Linked DNA regions of Xenopus tropicalis. The protein of the gene in region 4 interacts with the protein of the main gene of each other region in a pairwise test. Links are inferred from orthologs where the notes say so. Each region holds a gene or a part of one and is shown on either strand. Other genes may lie near its edges.

Region 1 (5,336 bases), on a different chromosome or scaffold from region 4:
AAAGGGAGAAAGAAAGTGCGTACCACGGACAATAATATCCAGAGCAGCAGGAATGCCTATTAAGCGAGGCAGGCGTTGGGTTCCTCCAGCTGCTGGGAGAATTCCAATTAATACCTCCGGGAGACCCATAACAGTCTGTAAAGAGAGATCAAGATGTATTTTAACTATATATGAAGATGTTAACACTCATATACCTTCCATTTCTGATATATATTACATAACACTTCTGCTGCTGCCTCAAATCCATCTAGACCAGGAAAAAGCCACATCCAAGAGGGTTGTGGTTTGCTACTTTCACCTTTTACAGTGAAAGCCTACGGCCTAAAAATGTTTGTTTCACCTGCCCTCTGGGACTGCATTATTTGAAGAGACAAACTTTATGGTTTCCTCCCCAAGGCATAGCACTTGTAAGCCAACAAGAGAAAATTATCTGTAATTCTGTTATGAACTTTGTGCAATTAAACTTTATTTTTAAAGCAGCAGCATACAACCAGGGGTTTCTATTGGAACAGTTTGGCACAGTGCTGAGTAGCCGCATGTAGGAGCAAAATTATCAAATAGTTTGCCCATTACTATTCAGTTATTCATAATCCTTGTACATATCAGATACCAAAAGGCCACTTTAAGGGGAAATTCACACAGATGAGGACCTAATATTATTTCCAGTGTTCTTATGACAGGGAAAGTGCCAGGTATCACTTCCAAACAACAACTCCACCAAAACTAATACTGGAGCTCATTACCACAGTTTGACTATTGCTGTTATATGCTTTTATTCACTGTTGTTTGTAACCTGCCACAGCTTAGTGGCAGAGCAGGTAAACTGAAATGGTAAGAACCAGACAAAGCCAAATAGTTTTGTTGCTATGCTGACTGCGCCCAGATGGACGCCTGTCCCGCTGATCTTAACATCTTAGTAGATGCTAAAGTGACTGCACCTTTATATGTGCCACACGATAGTGGCACGATAATGCTAATTCCAGACCTCCTCCGAGAGCCACTCCTTCAATGGCAGCCACCACAGGCTTCGTGGTGCTTTCTATTTCAGCATTTATATCTTCTAAAGATACGGTTCTCCGAGCTGCAGAACTAAACTCACGGATGTCTGCTCCTGGGGCAGTAAAGAGTGTATTAGAATATGGAATCACCTATTTTAAAAAGAAAATGATAGCACAGATCCATCCAGTGACAGAAAAATAAACACAACCATACCTGCACTGAATTTTCCATTTGCTCCACACAGGACAATGGCCTCTACCGATGGGTCCTTTTTGACCTCTGCCAATTCCTTGATAAGTGCCTGACAGACAGGAGTGCTATGGCAGACAAATAAGCACAATATATGGTAGCAAATAAAAGCAAATGGTCCCTCTTTTGTTGATTTATTAGCCCAAACATATTCTCAAGGAAACACACAAATTGTACAAAAACCAACGCACCTTTAGCTAGCAGACTTCAGTTCTTTTGTGTGTTGTGTGATAGAGCCACCATATTAAAAAGAATTATTTATCAGTGAACCAGTTCACCCAGTAGCCATATTTTAATGAAATGGCAATATTTAGTCCAGCTTTACAAAAGGATATTATTGAGCCCTAGCATCTCTCAAGATTATGACTACAATATTACAGATGGAGCAGGCATTTCTTATAAGTTACTACTGAACACAGTGCATCTTTAAAACCAGCTTCATCTATACATTGCCTCTTTACAGGGAAATACACATTAAAGGTGGCCATACACGTTAAGATCCGCTCGCTTGGCGAAGTCACCAAGCAAGCGGATCTTCTCTGATATCCCCACCTATACTGGGTGAATTTAGGCTAATTCGGTCGTTTGGCCCTGGGCATAAGAACGATGGTAATGGGCGCAGTTGGTTTGGGGACCACATCAACTAGCCGATGCGGTCCCTGATCAGACTAAATTTTTTAACCTGCCCGATCGATATCTGACCGATTTCAGGCCAGATGTCGGTCGGGCAGGCCCGTCGTTGGTGCCCCTACATGGGCTGATAAGCTGCCGAATCGGTCTAAGGGACCGATATTGGCAGCTAGAATCGGCCCGTGCATGGCCACCTTAAGCCTAGATTTCACCATTTCATATTTCTTGTTCATTTCCTGCCAAAGAGATATTTACTGCAAGTTACCTTAGAGCATATTCAGGTAAAGTTGCCACTTTGTCTATTAATATATATTGCCCAGTTTATATGCTGATAAATAATTCAGCTACCAGCAATTTCTAAATTACTCTATATTTCTCAGAACTGCACTTTCTTTACCATGCACATCCCAGAAAAATACTGTCCATGAAAATGGACAGCCAAATGCTGGTAATGCAGTGCAAGCAGTGGAGGGCTGCAGTATGGAGATACCGGTCACCTTATAGAATTACTCTTCTAGAGCACTGGAAGGTACTGGGGAAACAGAGGGAGGGATGCAAAATAGGAGCCAATTATAAGGCTATTAGAAGCTTTCAGAAGGGCGCAAGCATAAAGCGCTGTGCAAAGTGCCATTTTCAGATGCAAATCACAATGTTTTTTATCCAGATTAAGAGTGTAATTGCAGGCACTCTCCAAGTGGCATATACAATCCCTTGTGCAGAATGCACCCATACACATGCAAAGTGGTGTCTATTTTGGTTAGTTTCATCATAAATTCTGAGTTATCTAAGCATGCTCAATTTTGCATTCCAAACCAGAGCATTGCACTTGCCTTAAACTTGCAAATTAGGATTTTGAGTGTTTAATCTGTATTCATAGCTACTGTGGGACTACAACTCCCAGAATTCTACAATGATCAGTGGCATTTAAGGTGTTACAGTTCAGCTACACTTAGATACAAAGGTCGAGAAAAGGCTGGTTTGTACTTCATGGTGTATTGATTCCAGTCCACCACAAACACCTATAGCTGAGGTCCCTTCCCACAACGAATCCAGCTCAACGTCTTACCTCAGCGCATTAACAGGAGGATTGTTGATTTTGATGACAGCCACTGTATGTGACAGAGTCCGTGTGGCAGCCATCGCCGCTGCTGTATAAGTACAAAGTTCAAGTGCACCTACACTTTGAAACAAGAGCCGAGAAGCCCCGCCCCTTCCCTTGATATGTAACGAGTGTTTGTTCCGACACTTGACCAATCAGTAGCTCAGTGGGTGTATCACAAATTGTGTTTGGGTAGAGAGGGAAAGCCATAGCTATGCAGTATAGCAAGAGTAGCATGCTAGTCACTAAAAGCTGCTGATGCATATTTGTGTTTGTTTTTTTCTCTTCTGTAAGGTTTAATATGAACTGCTTCAAGATTATACTAGCATGTATAAACATACTTTGGTGTGGCATATTTGCATGGCCTTGTAATGTTTAAACCCAAGTTAATGAATGGGAAAAGCTAGATTTTAGAAAATTCATTCTTGGGAGAGAAGTATACATCTGTATAGCCGATTTAACCCACTCCCACATTTAAAGAATGATCTGTACTCCACCTTCCTACCAATGCTACTATCTAAAAGATTTTTAGATAAAATTCCCAATATACTCAGATCCTATACCCTAACCTCCTAATTCCTACAACAGTTAGTATGGTACTCCTTTTCTTATCCCTGCCCAACTACAAATTGTATTCCACTTCCCCAACTTGTTTTCTTCATGTGTTAGGCCCTGATACTCTCTTTGTATATCCTTGCCCAAAAGCTTTTTATTTCCCCACTTTATTTTTCAATTTCCTGCCTCTGTGGTTCATTTATTTTTTTCTAGTCCCACTCCAGAGGAGTGGAAAGTTAAAAGGCAAGCAGAAGGCAGCACCTGTGGTTCGCCATCTTGAAATTATAATTATTCGTTCATCAGTATTGCTGCATGGAAGTGACATCACGCACCGGTGCTCACTTGCAGACGTGACGTCACATGCATGCAAAAATGCCCGAATGAAGCCGAAAAATTGCTACCTGCACAGATTTCAATATGAACTTCGGAGGGTTTCAAAAAATTCGTGAGAATGCTATTGGATAACGGAAGACAGGGAGAGAGAAGCACCACGTTCTTATGATCCCTCTGGGCTTGCATGTAAGGCGGAAATTAAAGGACATGTAAACTCCACACACAAAAATGTAATCAGTGAACAGCCTCTTTGAAATCTCTCAATACCTGCCACACTGGTTGTCCAGAGGTTAATACCGGTAGTAAGGCTGCAACATCTCCTTAATCACTTAGATTTGCATCTCCTCCTGTAACCCACTCGGCCCCCTCCCTCAGGAATTTGCTTTGGCTGTTGGCTTGTGGGCATGCTCAGTTGTTGTAAGATCAGATTACTAAACATGCCCCCTAATCTAGCAGCCAGTGAAGAGATGGCATTGCTGGTTCCCATAGAAACTCAGCTCTAGCTGTCTGCTTCAGTTTTTTTCTCCCAACCTTCTCTCCTGAGCTCAGTTCAAACACATCAGAACTTTATCAGAGATAGTTCTGCCTGTGTGCTGCTATTCGCTTTAGGAACATGTGATGGTGCTGGCAAACGGAGGAGATATATGCAGTACAACTAATGCTATTTGGGTGGGGGAGACGTGCCCAACTGATATACATTGTAGGCAAATGTAGGCTTTACATGTCCTTTAAATGCTTGACTGACAGAAAGAATCTGGCAGTGCAGTTAAATGGTGTTGTTAGCTTATACCATGGTGACCACACAGGATCAGAACTCAAATGTAAGCACATTTTCATGAACAATTGAATTTTGCAAAGACCTGAGTTACTAAGTGTTACTATTACTTTAAACCTCTAGTTACACTACTACGCATTTACCACTTAGCAGCCCTGTACTGTAGGGGTTTAGTTGCTAGCCATTGGGAAAATGATGTTGACCCCAGTCTGAAGATTGTCCAAACAGGCAAAAAAGCCCCATGGGGGACTAGTGTTAACTGGCTCATTTATGACTATAGTGCATGGTGCAAAGTGCACTTTTCATACTCAAATTCCAGCAGCATTGCAGCATTTTTTCAGAGTGGGATGTTGAGGCTATTCTCACAATACACATCCAGGTGTGCACTACCATGTAACTTCTCAGAGCAGGCTGGGCTCGTGAGTGCAAGGGGCATGTATAGCCACAATTTCCGTTTACAAATAGTGTCATTGCGCTCCAGTTTAGTGCTCCACTATTCAAATATGAGCTTCATAATCCATATTATGCCCCAGCTAGGTCTGCAGTCCTGACTCCTGAGACAGCTGGCTTTGATAGCGAAAGGCAAAAAATCCACTGTACGCTCACCTAATAACATGTCTATCCTGGACAAAGTTCATTAAGTTTTATACAGAGTACATAGCAGGCTTATAATCCTCTTGCTTACGGTTTAAAAAG
Region 2 (4,537 bases), on a different chromosome or scaffold from region 4:
CGCCGATCTGCAACGGGCAGGGGGTCAGCAGCGCCGGGGTGCGGGGGGTATCAGGGTATGTGCGGGGGGGGTACACAAGGGTATGTATATGTGCGGGGGGAGAGGGGTACACAAGGGTATGTATATGTGCAGGGGGGCAACACAAGGGTATCAGGGTATGTGCGGGGGGAGAGGGGTACACAGGGTATGTATATGTGCAGGGGGAGCACACAGGGTATCAGGGTATGTGCGGGGGGCGAGGGGTACACAAGGGTATGTATATGTGCAGGGGGAGCACACAAGGGTATCAGGGTATGTGCGGGGGGAGAGGGGTACACAAGGGTATGTATATGTGCGGGGGGGCACACACTTGCCTGTTTGGCCAGCAGGAGGTGCTCCCGTGTCTGGGGCATCTGCCCATCGGTGGCAGCGACTACCAGGATACAGCCGTCCATCTGCGACGTCCCCGTGATCATGTTCTGCTCGGGGCAAATAACAGTCAGGGCAGGTGGGCACATGGGGTTCTCTAGCCAATCAGCCACAGTCACACACTCACCTTGACATAGTCGGCGTGCCCGGGGCAGTCTGTGTGCGCGTAGTGGCGGTTGGCCGTGGCATATTCCACGTGGGAGGCATTGATAGTGATGCCCCGCGCCTTCTCTTCCGGGGCATTGTCTATCTCCTCGTACTTCTTGAACTGGGCGCCCCCCGCCTCCGCCAGGACTGGAACCAATCAGAGCAGGAGTTTATAGAACTTTCATAAAACACCATTGTACTGTACTGAGCCACCCGCAGGTCTATAGAGAGGGCAGCAGCCCCACAGGTACAGAGTGTTTAGCGGAGTGGACTGGGGGCAGGAGCCGAGACACTGGTGGGGCAGGAGGTGAGACACTGGCGGGGCAATAGCGGGGCAGGAGCCGAGACACTGGCGGGGCAATAGCGGGGCAGGAGCCGAGACACTGGCGGGGCAATAGCGGGGCAGGAGGCGAGACACTGGGAAGGAACAGGGCAGGAGCGGAGATGAGAAATGGGATGGCCAGTACCCGCCTCACTCCCACTAGCCTGCCTGGCACAGGGGAACGGCCAGTACCCGCCTCACTCCCACTAGCCTGCCTGGCACAGGGGAACGGCCAGTACCCGCCTCACTCCCACCAGCCTGCCTGGCACAGGGGAACGGCCAGTACCCGCCTCACTCCCACTAGCCTGCCTGGGAACCACAGGGGAACGGCCAGTACCCGCCTCACTCCCACTAGCCTGCCTGGCACAGGGGAACGGCCCACTACCCGCCTCACTCCCACTAGCCTGCCTGGCACAGGGGAACGGCCACTACCCGCCTCACTCCCACTAGCCTGCCTGGCACAGGGGAACGGCCACTAACCGCCTGCACCTCACCTAGCGCTGTCCTGGCACAGGAGTGGGAAACGGGGCAAGTACATTTGGCCATGGACTTGTGAGACCCTCACTCCCACCAGCCTGTCACCATGGCATCAAGGGGGAAGCGGGCCAGTACGTCGCGCTCACTTCCGCACCCGATAGCCTGCCTGGCACAGGGGAACGAGGCGGCTCAGTATCATCCCGCGCTCACTCCACAAGCCCTGCTGGCACAGGGGAACAGTTGATTGGGTACCCTAGTATCACTTGCGGCCTCACTCTCACTAGCCTTGCGCCTTGGCACAGGGGAACGGGCACTGTTACCCGTCTCACTACCGCACTAGCCTGCCTCGGCACGGGAAGCGGCCGAGTGACTAACCGCACGGCACTGATCACGCTGACCCACATAGCTCTGCCTTGGCACAGGGGGAAGCGAGCAGTACTCCGCCGCCTTCGACTCTCACCGCAGATCTCCATGCCTGGCACAGGGGAACACAGCAGTACCATCAGGCGCCCTCACTCCAGACCAGCCTGCCTGGCACAGGGGGAAAGGCTCAGTGACGGGCGCAACCTCACCTGGCCCACGACGCTGCACTGGCAACAGGGGAGACGGGGCCAGTAGGGCGCCCGCACTCACTCCCACCCAGCCTCGCCTGGCACGAGGGTGAACGAGGCCAGTAAACCAAGCTCACTCCCACTCAGCCCGCCACTGGCACAGGGGACGTCGGCCAAGTACTGCGCCTTGCACTCACCTCACTAGCCTGCCTGGCAACAAGGGGAAACTGGCAGTAGCTGCCTGCACTCTGCGACTAGCGAGCTGGCCTGGCACAGGGGAAGTGCGGCCTATACCGTGCGGCCTCACTCCCGACCAGCCTGCCTGGCCCAGGGGAACGCAGTCGCCTCACACTATCCCACCAGCACGCCTGCCTGGACAGCAGGAGGAACGGCGCAGTACCCGCGCTCACTCTCACTATGTCACTGCCTGGCACAGGGGAACAGAAGGCGCAGTACGCTCACGCCTCAACTCTCCACATAGCACTGCCATTGGCCCACAGGGATACGGCCCCAGTAACCCGCCTTTCACTCATCACCTTTACGCCTGCCTTGGCAGCCGGGGAAGCGGCCACGTAGACCGCCACTCAGAGGCTCACTACTCACTAGCACTGACCTGGCACCAGGGGAACGGCCGATAAACCCCGGGGCCTCCCTCCCAGACTTATCTCTATGAGGTAATGGCAGCTGTCAGGGTGGATCCTTGGCATGATCCCCACATGCACAATGGCTCGCACCTGGACGATGCTGCGCTTGTCCCTAACTACGATTAAGTCTTCTTGGCCTCTGTGGCATATGCCCGGAACAGCAGGGGGCACCAGCGGGCAGCAGGACTGGGCCGGGACTATGGGAGAGAGGAGTAAAGGTCATGAACGCTCGAATGGAACCATGCATCATGTACATGGATGTGCTGTGCCAAATACTAACGTCCAAGCCGCGACCTTAGCAGAGTGCAGGTTATCTGTCAGAACACAACCCAAACGACCACACAGATCCTCGACAGAAGACATAGCACAAGAATGACGCACCACCTCAAACCCGACCCGCACCGGCCTCGCCGAAACCTCCGGACCACGGACCGGACCTGCCGACGCAACGACACAGCCACCTGACCGACCCTGCAGCGCGCAAACTGACCCGCACACCGACCTGGCAACCCTAAAGCTGACCCACATCTGTGGATCCGACTGCACCAAACTGACCCGCCACCAAACCCACGGCAACTCGGCACGTGCGCCCAGCAACTTACACCCACGCACGGGGCAGCAAACCTATCCGCGAGCTACGTACAAAACTACGCGGCACTGCGCACCCCAACGGCCACCCCCACCGCTGCGCACGAACACCCCCCACCGGCCATGTCGCGCAAATCCTCATGACGGCCGCATAACCGGCCTGCGCTCCAAAACATCCCGCAACCAGGACTGCGCGCTCCAAAACCACACTTCGTCACCCCAAAATCATACTACCCCCACAGCGACCTTCGCAGACCTTCGAAACTGACTGCCGCACGGACCTGCGCGCCAAGATCACCACACAGTCCACACCGAAGCCCTTACCAATGCAGGCACAAGGTAGGTACGCGCCCCAAACCATAGCCCACAACCTGACCCGATAGACCCAAAACCTACCCACCCCCTCGACCCGTGCCGCAAGGACCTCCCGCACTATTCTGACACCTTACCCACGCACAGAAGCACCAAACGTACCCGCACCGACACCTTACCACGGCTGCGGAACCAACTACCGCACCGACCCTTACCCACCCCGCGCACCGAAACTACGCACGGCGACCCGTGCCCAAACGTAACCCACACCGACCGTGCCAAACCTACCACACACCGAGACTCGCGTGCCCAACGCTACCCACACCGACCGTGGCCCAAACCTACCACCAACCGACCCGTGCACAGACTACCCACAAACGCGGCGGACCCGTTGGCCAAACTACCCCACACCGGACGCCGTGCCCAACCCGCAGCCCAAGTTACGCTACCGCACGACCCTTACCACACCCGCGCCCAAACGGTACCCCTAAAACAACGCCCGGCCCAAACCTACCCACACCGAGAGCCCCTACCAGCCCGCCAACCTACCACCCGCACCGGACGCTTACCCACCCGCGCCCAAACCTACCCACAGACGAGACGTGCGCCAACACCTACCCACACGACCGCGTGCCCACCCGCCACAGCAAACCTACCCGCACCGACCCACTTACCCAGATCACCCGCGCAAACCTACCCACAACCCAACCCTTACCACCCGTGCCCAAACCTACCGCCGCGACTTACCACCTGAGCAACCAACCACCCACAACAGACCCTTACCACACCCGCGCCCAACCTACCCGCACCGACCCTTACCGAACACAGCACCCAGCGCCAACCTACCGAACCTTCCTGACCTTACCCACCGCACACCCAACATACTACCACCCGCGACCCTTCCCACCCGCACCCAACTACCCGCACCGACTTACCGCAACACGCGCGCCAAACCTACCAACCCAACCGTGCCCACGCCGTGCCCAAACCTACCCGCACCGACCCTTACCCCACCTCACCCAAACCTACCCACACCGACCCTTACGCATCCGGCCCAACCATACCCGCACCGACCCTTACCACCCCAC
Region 3 (5,338 bases), on a different chromosome or scaffold from region 4:
GGACCGCATTGGCTCACTGATGAGGCCCACACCCTGACAGCGTGTGTCCCCACTGCTGTGATCTGATAGTTTGGCCTGATCAGACCAGCCCCATACTGCCTTAAGGTGGGGACATCAGACAGATCCCATCATATGGTGAGGTCGCCAAACAAGCTCATCTTTCAATATGTGGCAACCTTAAGTTGGCAAGTAATCATTAAGACAGTGGTTGGGGTACTGGCCCTTTCCAGGCCAAAAAGCACTCTGAGTGTTTGGCACTGAAAAATGCCATTACCTACTCTGTTGCATTTTCCCTATTTGCGTAAATGGGCAACATGGGGGGGGGGGGGGGTTCAGGCACTCTTCTCCCAGATGAGACCTGCCAGCAGAGGATATACCCCTTTCAATAGCCTTTATACATTTCACAAAGATTTCAACATTATTTTGCCCTTGGGCTACAACTCATTGTAGTGTAATATAAATGGGGCACAGCTGAAAGACTGAAAAGGCAGCTGTCTCCATACTGTAAGAACAAAGAAACCAATCCTTGGAAATTAGTGTCTGCAGCAAAGTTACCTGTATAAAAGATAATTTTTATTTTTTCTATTTGCATTTAGTTTTGCTTTATTGTTTTGCTGCTTAGTGATAACTTTACAGATGTACTGTAGAATATTTAATCTGTAAGGATATGTTAGAAAGGGGGCAACAGTACATGAGTACATGGTCACATACTAATATATATTAGTGTGTACTGTAAACTTAATTAAGTCAAAAACCCATACAAATATTTGTAATTTGTTGTCTTCAATCAAACTCTGCGTAAAAAGAGACCAGTGATTCTTTGAAAGCAGTTGTTCTCAGCTGTGACCAGACAGGACAGCAGTTCACTTGTATGCATGAATGGGGGGGGAATTTATGAATGAATTCCTTTCCTCTTCCTTCTCTGTGACTATTCATGTGGAAGTGGGTCAAAAGCAGGATTACGGATTTATTTTCTCTCCAAACACACAAGCCTTTTTAACCTATTAAAAGCCAATGCCCTACACTAATACTTAATTGAAATAGGACACAGTGGGGTTGCGTGATGACTCTATAAGTAGTCACCCTCTGTTAGACAGGGCCAAAATAACGAGTGTCATCAAGGCAACAACAGTGAGGGTATAAACGTATTATATAACTGCAAGCGGTGTTTATACTGCTGTCCATAACTCCAAAATGTGCATGTTTGGATGGAAATAAGATCATTTTAGTGGCTCTAAGCACTGCACAAACTGCAGCTATGTATCTGCTTCCCACTGCTACCTTTATTAGGGATTGTAAAGCATAGGGGAACCTAGTACAGGTATTGGACCTGTTGTCCAGAATGCTTGGGACCTGGGGCTTTCCAGATAAGGGATCTTTCTGTAATTTGGATCTCAATACTTTAAGTCTACTAAAAAATCATTTAAACAAACATCATTTAAACCCAACAGGTAGTTTTGCCTCCAATAAGAATTAATTATATCTTAGTTGGGATCAAGTACAAGGTACTGTTTTATTATTACAGAGAAAAGAAAATCAGTTTTAAAAATTAGAATTTTTTTTATTGGGAGATGGCCTCCGTAATTCAAAACTTTCTGGATAACAGGTCTCCAGATAAGGGATCCTATACCTGTACAGTACATGACCTTCTAAATGTGACCCAGGAGCAGTTTTAACACAGCTTTCTCACCAACATTTCAAGCAATATTGCCCAGCACTTTAAAAACTAAAAAGGGATGTTCATCTTTAAATAAATTTTTAGAATGTTATAAAATGTCCTATTCCAGCTGGTCTTAATTTTTTATTTTTTTGATAATTTGCCGCCTTCTTCAACCACTTTACCACTTTCATATGGGGGTCACTGACCCCAGAAGTAAAAAGCTATAGTTTTATTGCTAGTTCTTATTCTTTATATTTGTAATCAAGCTCTCTCCTATTCATCTTTAAGTCTCTCTTTCAAACTGGGATTCAAAATAGGCCCTGGCATATGAAATACACAGAGGCCCAAACAGCCACCAGCCCAATAAATAGGGTAAATCAGACCCCAATGATCAGATAGCTGATGAAACTCCAACCTGGAGAGCTGATGAACAAAAGGCTTAATGATTTAAAAACTAAAGCCAATTTGTCTCATAATATCACTATCTACCAAGTATTCAAAGGTGAACTACCCCTTTAAAGGGATGGTTCCTCTTTAAGTTAACTTTTAGTATGTTAAAGAATGCCCTATTCCTGGCAACTTCACAATTGGTTTTCATCATTTTTTTAAAGTTTTTGAATTAGTTGCCACTCTTCTGCCCTTTTTTCAGATTTTAAATGGGAGTCACTGACCTTAGCAGCCAAAAATAATTTAATTGCTCCGTGTGGCAAAGATTTTATTGCTATTGTTTCTTTGCATTACTTATCTTTCTATGCAGGCCCTCTCCTATTTATATTCCTGTCTCTTGATAAAGCCACTGCCAGGGTAAAGACCTAGCAACCACATCAGTCATTATAATACTAAACTAAATATGTGTTGAACAAAAAGCTAAATAACTGAAACTATGAAAAATGAAGACCAATTGCAAATTGTCTCAGAATATCAAGGCTGGAATTCAGAAGAATCACTGCAAGCCACAGGCCTTTATACTGTAGCCCAGGCCTTGTAGCAACCTACTAACACACCTGCTTATGGCCTCATAAGGTGACAGCACACCAAAGGAACAAATCAGAAGTGACAGCAGGGTAAAGGAGTGAGCAGAAGTTTGTTTGTGTGATCTCCAGGCACAAGCATGACACAAGCACCTCTATGAGCCAGCCCCATCTGCACTGAGGATATTGTTTTTCCTAAGGGCCAGCTCAGGAAGGAAGAGTGGGGAAGGGCTGGGATGCACAGGCCTAGGAGTGGGATTTCCCCAATCACAGCAGTTAAAGGACAGAGGAAATAAGTCAGCAAATGCCAGCAGAGTCCATCCCTCTAGTTATTGCTGAACTACAACTCTCAGTGGAAGTTGTAGCCTCTCAACAGCTGATGGACCACAGGGACAACCTCCATACCTTTGACCACCTGGGCTGGCAAACAAAACAGAAGTACAAGAGGCCTCAAGCAAACTGACCCCCCAGGGTACATATAGTGGCAGCAAAACTGGAAAGGAAATATTGCTTTTTGGTTCCAGGAATGTTACCCCCCCCACGCCTCACCTTATGGCTGCCCTGAGGCAAATCCCCACACTGAGAGTGAGCGCCACTTACCTGCCTATATCTCTCTATACTCCAGGAGACTCATGTAAGTTCCTTTTCCTCCTGAAATGAACGATAAGCAGCCGGCAGCGCAGACTTTCTCTCCCGTGTCCCTATGATGGCAGAGAGGCGCTAAGGAGAGTGCAGGACGGGCCGGAGGAGCTGCCTGAGCCTCTCTCTCATTCCATGTTGTCTATGGGCACACGCTCATCCCTTTCCCCCTCCTACTCCGGGAAATCACGGGCTGACACATCCAGGGTCTGCTCCCTCAGCCTCTCCCTCAGCCTCTCCCAGCCCCGCTCCTAGTTCCTTTGCTCTCAAACAGCGAGAGGAAGAACACGATGAAGCAACTGCTCCAGCAGGAAGTGCGAAGGCAGGAAAATACAGGAGAGCAAGCGGTGGCAAGGTGCAAACTTACTGGGTGGTGCTTTTGCTGTTAGGAGCGCACATCCCCCTCCTCTTCTTGTGCGTGGTTTGCTCCCAGCTCCATGGGAAGAGGAGGAGGGGCACCTGAGCTGGAGATAAAGCGTGTGCTGTGCAACATGGCTGTCTTCCTCACAGGGCAGCTAGGCTATCTCCAGCTGTCACACAATCCCCCCTCTTCTCATACTGAAATCTGTCTCCCAAATACTGCTGAATAATGGCTTTAAAGTTGGTCTCTTATTTGGCCAGGTTCTTATTCGGACATTGTAGTTGGTTTGTAAATAAGTAACTGGTGTTTTAAGGTATTAAATTACTATGGGTCACGGATTTAAAAGTTAACATTCATAGACAGAGTTGCTCTATGTAAACTACAGCCTGTTTTAGCCTGGCCCAACACAGTCCTGGGCAGGAAAAGTGGCACCAAAGTGGCAATAGTTTCTTATTTAGTTCAGTGAATCTGTAATTAATTGTCTAAAGGGTTAATCACCTTGGGCCACTAATTTAAACCTATATATTTATAGAAAAGGAATGCACCGTTTCTTACCTTGCCCAAAATGGTTCTAGTAAGGAAAAGTGGCGTGGAAGTGGGCACGTGCAAATCTGCCTTTTTGAATAACAAGAATGCTGAAGGGGTTAAATGACTGGGCCACTAATTGAAACCTATATATTTGCAGACAAGGATTCCCTACATTAGATATATCCCGTTCCAGCCTGACCCTGTTCTGGGCAATTAAAGTTGCTTGAAAGTGGTCATCTTTGCAATTCTGCCTTTTTTTTTTTTTTTTTTATAATCTCTTTATTTATCAATTTTCCAAAAAAAAAACAATTTTGCATTAATAGGTAACAATATCAGTGACATGGGTTATCGTACGTTTCATTAAGAAGGTGTTGGTTAGTGTCCGTATTCGTGGGTAATCTCTCTTATTCTGTGGACTGTCTTATTGAGAGTGTCTTGAAAGTTGTCCAGGGTTCCCAGAGTTCAAGATGTTGTTCCAGCGAGTGCAATTCTGCCTTTTTTAATATATAACATCATGTGTCGAAGGGGTTAAATAATGGTGGGCCTCTTATTTAAACCTATATATTTGCAGGCAGGGATGCCCTGTATTGTATGGACAGGAAAAGTGGCATGAAAGTGAGCAGCTTTGCAATTCTGCCTTTTTAAATAAGTAACATGGGTGCTGAAGGGGTTAAATGACTTTGGGCCACTGATTTCAAACTATAGCTATGTAGGCAGAGATGCCCTGCATTATGCACATCTTGTTCCAGCCTGGCCTGAACTGTTGGTGGGAATGAAATGGAGTACAAAATTTGGCATTATAGTGATAATGCATTTTTAATATACATAGTTACATAGTTACATAGTTACATAGGGTTGAAAAAAGACCTGTGTCCATCAAGTTCAACCCATCCAAGTAAACCCAGCACACCTAACCCACACCTACCAATCTATACACACACATACATAAACTATAAATACAACCACTAGTACTAACTGTAGATATTAGTATCACAATAGCCTTGGATATTCTGATTGATCAAGAACTCATCCAGGCCCCTCTTAAAGGCATTAACAGAATCTGCCATTACCACATCACTAGGAAGGGCATTCCATAACCTCACTGCCCTCACCGTGAAAAACCACCTACGCTGCTTCAAATGGAAACTCCTTTCCTCTAATCTAAAGGGGTGACCTCTG
Region 4 (5,364 bases):
TTCATTTTTAAATTATTTTTTAGTAGTCATAAAGTACAATGATCCAAATTACAGAAAGATCCCCAGTAAGACACTAGCCATGAAGTAGGATGCATGACTGCCCAATGCCCCAGAAACCTTCTGGTGTCGTAGACAGCCTGAATGGGTTGTACAGGAAAATAGGAACTTTAAAGCAAATGTATTAAGTTACTGTGCATGAGCACTAAAACTGCACCAAAACTGTGGAGAGGACTGCTGAGCAACAGGAAATCATGGCAGAATCACTCATGAACTAGTACTCAGAGCAGGTGTCTAAGGTATTATATCCACTGAGGGTGTCGAACACATTCACACCCCCACAATGAATACTTGTCCTTTAATAGGTAACATGAGAGGAGTGTCAGCAATAGAATGGAATAAAAGTCAGAGAATAGGTATTTATTCCCCCAGGCCCAGACCATTTTTGCAATCTGCTACCCATAGTATCATTGATCACTGCAGAACTGTGTAAGGCTCCACATTTTAAGACATCACATCCTATATGTGTAAAAATCGTCACTTGCTGCCAAAAAATAAGAAAAATGTTATTTATTACCTGAAGCAAAAGGAAACCCCCACCTACTGCTGTTGCAGCAAGTTTGCCAACTTTTTGAAACAAAAATCCTGCACACCTATAAATAAAATAAACATATTTGAATACATTTAGCAGTTATATCAATATATACTCTAAGATTTCTAAGTCTGTATGATATATAAACATGCAAATCTGTGTATAAAATGCCCACAATATAGGCACATTCTATACTGTATTTGAATACATAAAAACTATCAGCAAAACTCACTTGTAATCCAGCAGCTGGATTATATTATTGAACCTTGCTGGAAACCTCTGTGATGCATCCATGCATGCATGTCTACTGAATGCGCTATGTGGCCGGGCAGCATACTGGCCCTTAAGAAAATAACTATAACCAAGAATGTTCTTAAATCCTGACTAATTTATTAAGTCTTTTTTTTTTTTTTTACAGAGTGGCACTGAACTGTTAAGAAAGAGCTAACACAACTGTAGGTATGCCTTGAAGATGCATTTCTTACCAGCCTGACACACCTCCCATGACGATTTGTGTAGCTACAGAATACTTTTCTGTAAGTGGCCCAGAATTCCGCCCAAACAAGCGGTTCCACCAATGGTGACGTCTGGCATACTCTGTTAGGTCCAACACTTCATATGATTCATCGTCACTGCTGGGCTCTAAGAAAAATTCAAACATATACTGAGAAAATGTTTCCATCTAAATGAAACTACCTATTACTATTTACTCTGTGCTCCAAAGACAAAGGAATACATAAATACTTAGGTCTATTACAGTATATTAAAGCCAGATATTATACTATACTGCACACACACATAGGTTATGTCACCCAAAATGGATTGCTGTGAATCAAAAAAAAGGGCAGCTCAGCATTCAATAGAAAATTTCTCCAGGACGGCACTTTTTTTTTTTTTTTTTTTTAACAAAAGAGGAGTGTCAAGGTAAAAAGTGATTGCATTCAGTGGGTATGCATGTAAAAAAACTGTCCCTCCATAAATACCACATACCTTTACTTTAAATTATACACCCGAGCCAGCAAAGTGTTGTGCAATAGCACAGTTGTTTTTGTCCTAGTGAATTGTGAACAGTGAATTGCCTTTATGTGTCATATCCACAGCCAAGCGCCATGAAACGTGCATAGCTTTGTCAGGGATGTTTCCTTAAAAAATATTTCTACCTGCTTACATTGGCTTTGTGGATTCCCTAAGTACTTAATATTTTACACCAGGGGGTTATAATTTTTAGTAAAGAAAAAGACCCCAAAACACAAGAAAACACAAGAACAGGTCTGGACCACAATAGGCTACAATAAATACAGTGTGCAAAGCATCATTTAGTTGTTTTTAAGGACCTGCAGAAGCTCATAAACACACCAATATTACAAACATTTGTTGGTGAACCAAGTTTATTAAAACTATATAGTGGTTTATGCAAAAGTGGGACTTGGCCCTGCTATACTGAAGCAAAAGATACAGTGTTTATTCTCAAAGTAAAAATATTTGAGCAGTGCTGAAATTCAAAAAGGATGTTGATACCAACCAGTTATAGAAATGTAATTCTTATAGTGATACCGACACTAAAAAACGACTCCTCAAAATATGAATGTACATTAAAAGTTGCCTATAGGTCATGTTGATTGATTTTCGCTGAGAGATTTGCTTTTGTAAATAATTGTTACTTGAAGTCCCTAAACCTGACTGTTTAGCCAACCTGACTGTCCCTTCTCAGCCTGTCAGTTCTAATGCTAACGGCCTCCTGCTAGACAAATATGGCAGCCCCCTTATAGGGGAACATGGGGGATCAGACAGGTTATATAAAAGCATTGGGCAAATGCTTTTATGGCAAAAATTAAGGTCATGCAAAGACAATGTTATGATAGATGTAAAAAAAGGTTTAATTTCTGGTGTCAGTATCTCTTTAAGCACAAGAAACAAGCTTTCAAAGCTATTAAGGATCTACTCCTGTACTGGGTGAAAATTGCAGTCCAACCTAAATGAAAGAAATGGGAATGCTTAGCAGGTTTCAATTATACACGTAATTGCAAATAGTCAAGTGTATCACTTTTTGCCTATGCAATTGCTATTCAAATCGGCATCTATTACTTTGTATGCCCTGGTGGGTCTAACTATTGAAACAATGTAGCAGAACCCAACTGATCTGTGGTTGGAGAAATCAGCACAAAAGTGAAAGCAAAATACAGCTTTCACCTAGAATAACACTAAAAACATTTAATCTATGGGTATATATATATATATATTTATGTGGATTAGAAGGACATTTAAGTTAAGTTAATTATGAAAATGTATCTTTAGGTTTCCATCACTATCATTGGCTCTTTCTTTCTGAGAGGTTGTTCCTCTTCTCTCTTTCCACTGCTTTATTAGCGCAATGTGGAAAAATGAACACTTTTTACGCAGTTTCACATATATCTGTCAACACTGTGTCAATTACACGCACACATGTAATTTGTAAACAAAATAATTCAGACCTTATGAAGTTAAGCACAGGCCGCCAATAAACACACGCTATGATCACACTTTCATCTAGCCAAGCTACAAGAACAATTCATTTACTCTTTGCCTTACACGGGCTCTTTCTTTAACCGGTGACCTGCTTACCTCTCCGGGCAGCCATGATTCTCTCCTCTGCTGATCTTTTTTTTTTTTTTTTCCCTATTGCAGTGACGCAATACGTCACGTACGCAGAAGGCGGGCTCACGCTCATACGTGCAGTGTAGCTCCGACACTCCCAGTTCTGTGTTGTAAAAATTGTGAAGAAGGACGGTAGTTTGTGACGCTCTCTGATAATATATCGCCGTTCTTCTATAAAACCGAGTCAAGCTGAGGAGTTCCATGTTTCCCATATGAATGATTTATAAGTAGTATGAAATTGTACTTTAACATGATTATGATGTTATAATATGATAGTATAGATCTGTTATACTAACTCTTTAGGTGCTTGTTTGCTATTCTATGCCTTGCCTGACCCATAGGACAGTGACACACAGGGAGATTAGTTGGTGTGGGCCAAATCTTTGTTGTTGCGGGCTACTAATCTCCCCGCAATACCATCCCATTGGCTAGAATGTAAATCGCTGGTGGGATGGCATACACAGCGCCGCGATTTGTTTAGGCTGCCCGAAGTTTCCTTTCAAGGCAACTTTGGCAAATCATGGCGCTGCGTATGCCATCCCACCGGTAATCTACATTCTAGCCAATGGGATGGTATTGCGGGGAGATTAGTCGCCCATCACAACGTAGATTTGTCGCGGTGCGACTAATGTCCCCATGTACCCCTGCCCTTAGGGTGAGACACATGGAGCTCTGAAAAGTTCTACCATAGTGGTAGTCCAGACGTAACAGTATTGCAAACAGCCATGCAATCCCTAGGGCAGCGGTACACGGGGAGATTAGTCACGCCGTGACAAATCTCCGTTGCGTGCGACTAATCTCTCCGATATGCCATCCCACCAACTATAATGTAAATCACCGGTGGGATGGAATACGCGGCACCGCTGTCCCCAAAGTTGCCTTGAGAGGAAACTTTGTTATCCCCTGCTGATACCTGCATCTGTGCTTAGGGTAAATGCCAACTATAAATACTAATATTAGGTAAACGATAAGTTTTTTTCTAGAGAAATGTGTTTGGGAAAGTACATCTTTCGACAGCCTCTTTATTAGAGAATAAAGAAAATGGAAATAGAAAGTTTTTTTTTTTCCCAGAAAAGATGTAATTCCTTTTTTCTACATAAACCCAATCACTAAACACCACTCAAACTGACTAAAAAGCTTGTTTAAAGAAAGTTTAAGGAAGTTGTTGTAAAATTAACAAGTTGCCAGAAAAGATGGAGATAAAATACTGGAAATAATGCAGAGCTGGAAATTGATTAAATAATGTAGCAAATAAACAGAAGAAAGAAGGTGTTAATAGCTCTGTTCAGTTCACTTGTGAATTATTCACATTGGAAATATTGACAAGTGATCAGCAAAGGTAAAAGATGGTTTCCTAACTGAATAAACCTGAAAAAATGGACAGAAGGATCACAAGGAGATTAAGTAATGTGGTCCTCGGACAGTTTCAACTATGGGGCTGGGCATTTATTGGAGAATGTGTTTGTTCTCCTGGATACTCATGGAAGCTCAACTTGAAAACCCATTAGGTTGAAATTTTGGGTGAGTTTGTTTATACCCTGGATACCCCTTCATGTTTAACAGGATAACTGGTACAGGTATAGGACCTATTATCCAGAATGCTCGGGACCAAGGGTATTCCGGATAAGGGGTCTTCCCGTAATATGGATCTCCATACCTTAAGCCTACTAAAAAATCAATAAAACTTTAATCAAACCCAACAGGATTGTTTTGCATCCAATAAGGATTATTTATATCTTAGTTGGGATCAATTACATGGTACTGTTTTATTACTACAGAGAAAAAGGAAATCAGTTTTAAAATTCTGAATTATTTGATTAAAATGGAGTCTATGGGAGATGGGCTTTCCGTAATTCGGAGCTTTCTGGATAACGGGTTTCCGGATAAGGGGTCCGATACCTGTACCAGTTTTTTCCATATATCTGTAAACCTGTTATGAACTAAGGAGGCCCTGAGCAAATATTAAAGCTCAAAGAGGGGAAGAAGTGACTGAAGGAGTAGAGAAGATTGAGAATTAGGGATGGTGTCATGATATGTATGGTGTACTTTTTTTTTTATTTTCCTTCCCATTTTTCTACTGATTGGCTGCTGAGGGGGTGATATCACACCAACTTGCAACACAGCAGTAAAATGTTACTGAG

Evidence for each region.
Region 1: the proteins of fundc1 (region 4) and ehhadh interact in binary tests that used the Homo sapiens proteins (3 or more experiments, as listed by UniProt). The two-hybrid records come from large-scale screens. The link is inferred for Xenopus tropicalis from reciprocal best matches to the Homo sapiens genes FUNDC1 and EHHADH.
Region 2: the proteins of fundc1 (region 4) and tufm interact in binary tests that used the Homo sapiens proteins (3 or more experiments, as listed by UniProt). The two-hybrid records come from large-scale screens. The link is inferred for Xenopus tropicalis from reciprocal best matches to the Homo sapiens genes FUNDC1 and TUFM.
Region 3: the proteins of fundc1 (region 4) and yes1 interact in binary tests that used the Homo sapiens proteins (3 or more experiments, as listed by UniProt). The two-hybrid records come from large-scale screens. The link is inferred for Xenopus tropicalis from reciprocal best matches to the Homo sapiens genes FUNDC1 and YES1.

What each region holds. Positions count from the first base shown.
Region 1 is NC_030685.2:54,569,481-54,574,816, reverse strand, and holds the start of ehhadh (peroxisomal bifunctional enzyme), read right to left. Parts: upstream 3,080-5,336; 5' UTR 3,019-3,079; coding exon 2,945-3,018; intron 1,317-2,944; coding exon 1,213-1,316; intron 1,112-1,212; coding exon 939-1,111; intron 136-938; coding exon 24-135; intron 1-23. UniProt on the Homo sapiens protein: Peroxisomal trifunctional enzyme possessing 2-enoyl-CoA hydratase, 3-hydroxyacyl-CoA dehydrogenase, and delta 3, delta 2-enoyl-CoA isomerase activities. Catalyzes two of the four reactions of the long chain fatty acids peroxisomal beta-oxidation pathway.
Region 2 is NC_030685.2:348,181-352,717, forward strand, and holds part of tufm (elongation factor Tu, mitochondrial), read right to left. Parts: intron 2,747-4,537; coding exon 2,674-2,746; intron 2,333-2,673; coding exon 2,213-2,332; intron 1,830-2,212; coding exon 1,730-1,829; intron 714-1,729; coding exon 536-713; intron 459-535; coding exon 354-458; intron 8-353; coding exon 1-7. UniProt on the Homo sapiens protein: GTP hydrolase that promotes the GTP-dependent binding of aminoacyl-tRNA to the A-site of ribosomes during protein biosynthesis. Also plays a role in the regulation of autophagy and innate immunity.
Region 3 is NC_030682.2:107,964,573-107,969,910, reverse strand, and holds the start of yes1 (tyrosine-protein kinase Yes), read right to left. Parts: upstream 3,364-5,338; 5' UTR 3,232-3,363; intron 1-3,231. UniProt on the Homo sapiens protein: Non-receptor protein tyrosine kinase that is involved in the regulation of cell growth and survival, apoptosis, cell-cell adhesion, cytoskeleton remodeling, and differentiation.
Region 4 is NC_030678.2:55,858,380-55,863,743, reverse strand, and holds the start of fundc1 (FUN14 domain-containing protein 1), read right to left. Parts: upstream 3,212-5,364; 5' UTR 3,207-3,211; coding exon 3,191-3,206; intron 1,232-3,190; coding exon 1,075-1,231; intron 651-1,074; coding exon 575-650; intron 1-574. UniProt on the Homo sapiens protein: Integral mitochondrial outer-membrane protein that mediates the formation of mitochondria-associated endoplasmic reticulum membranes (MAMs).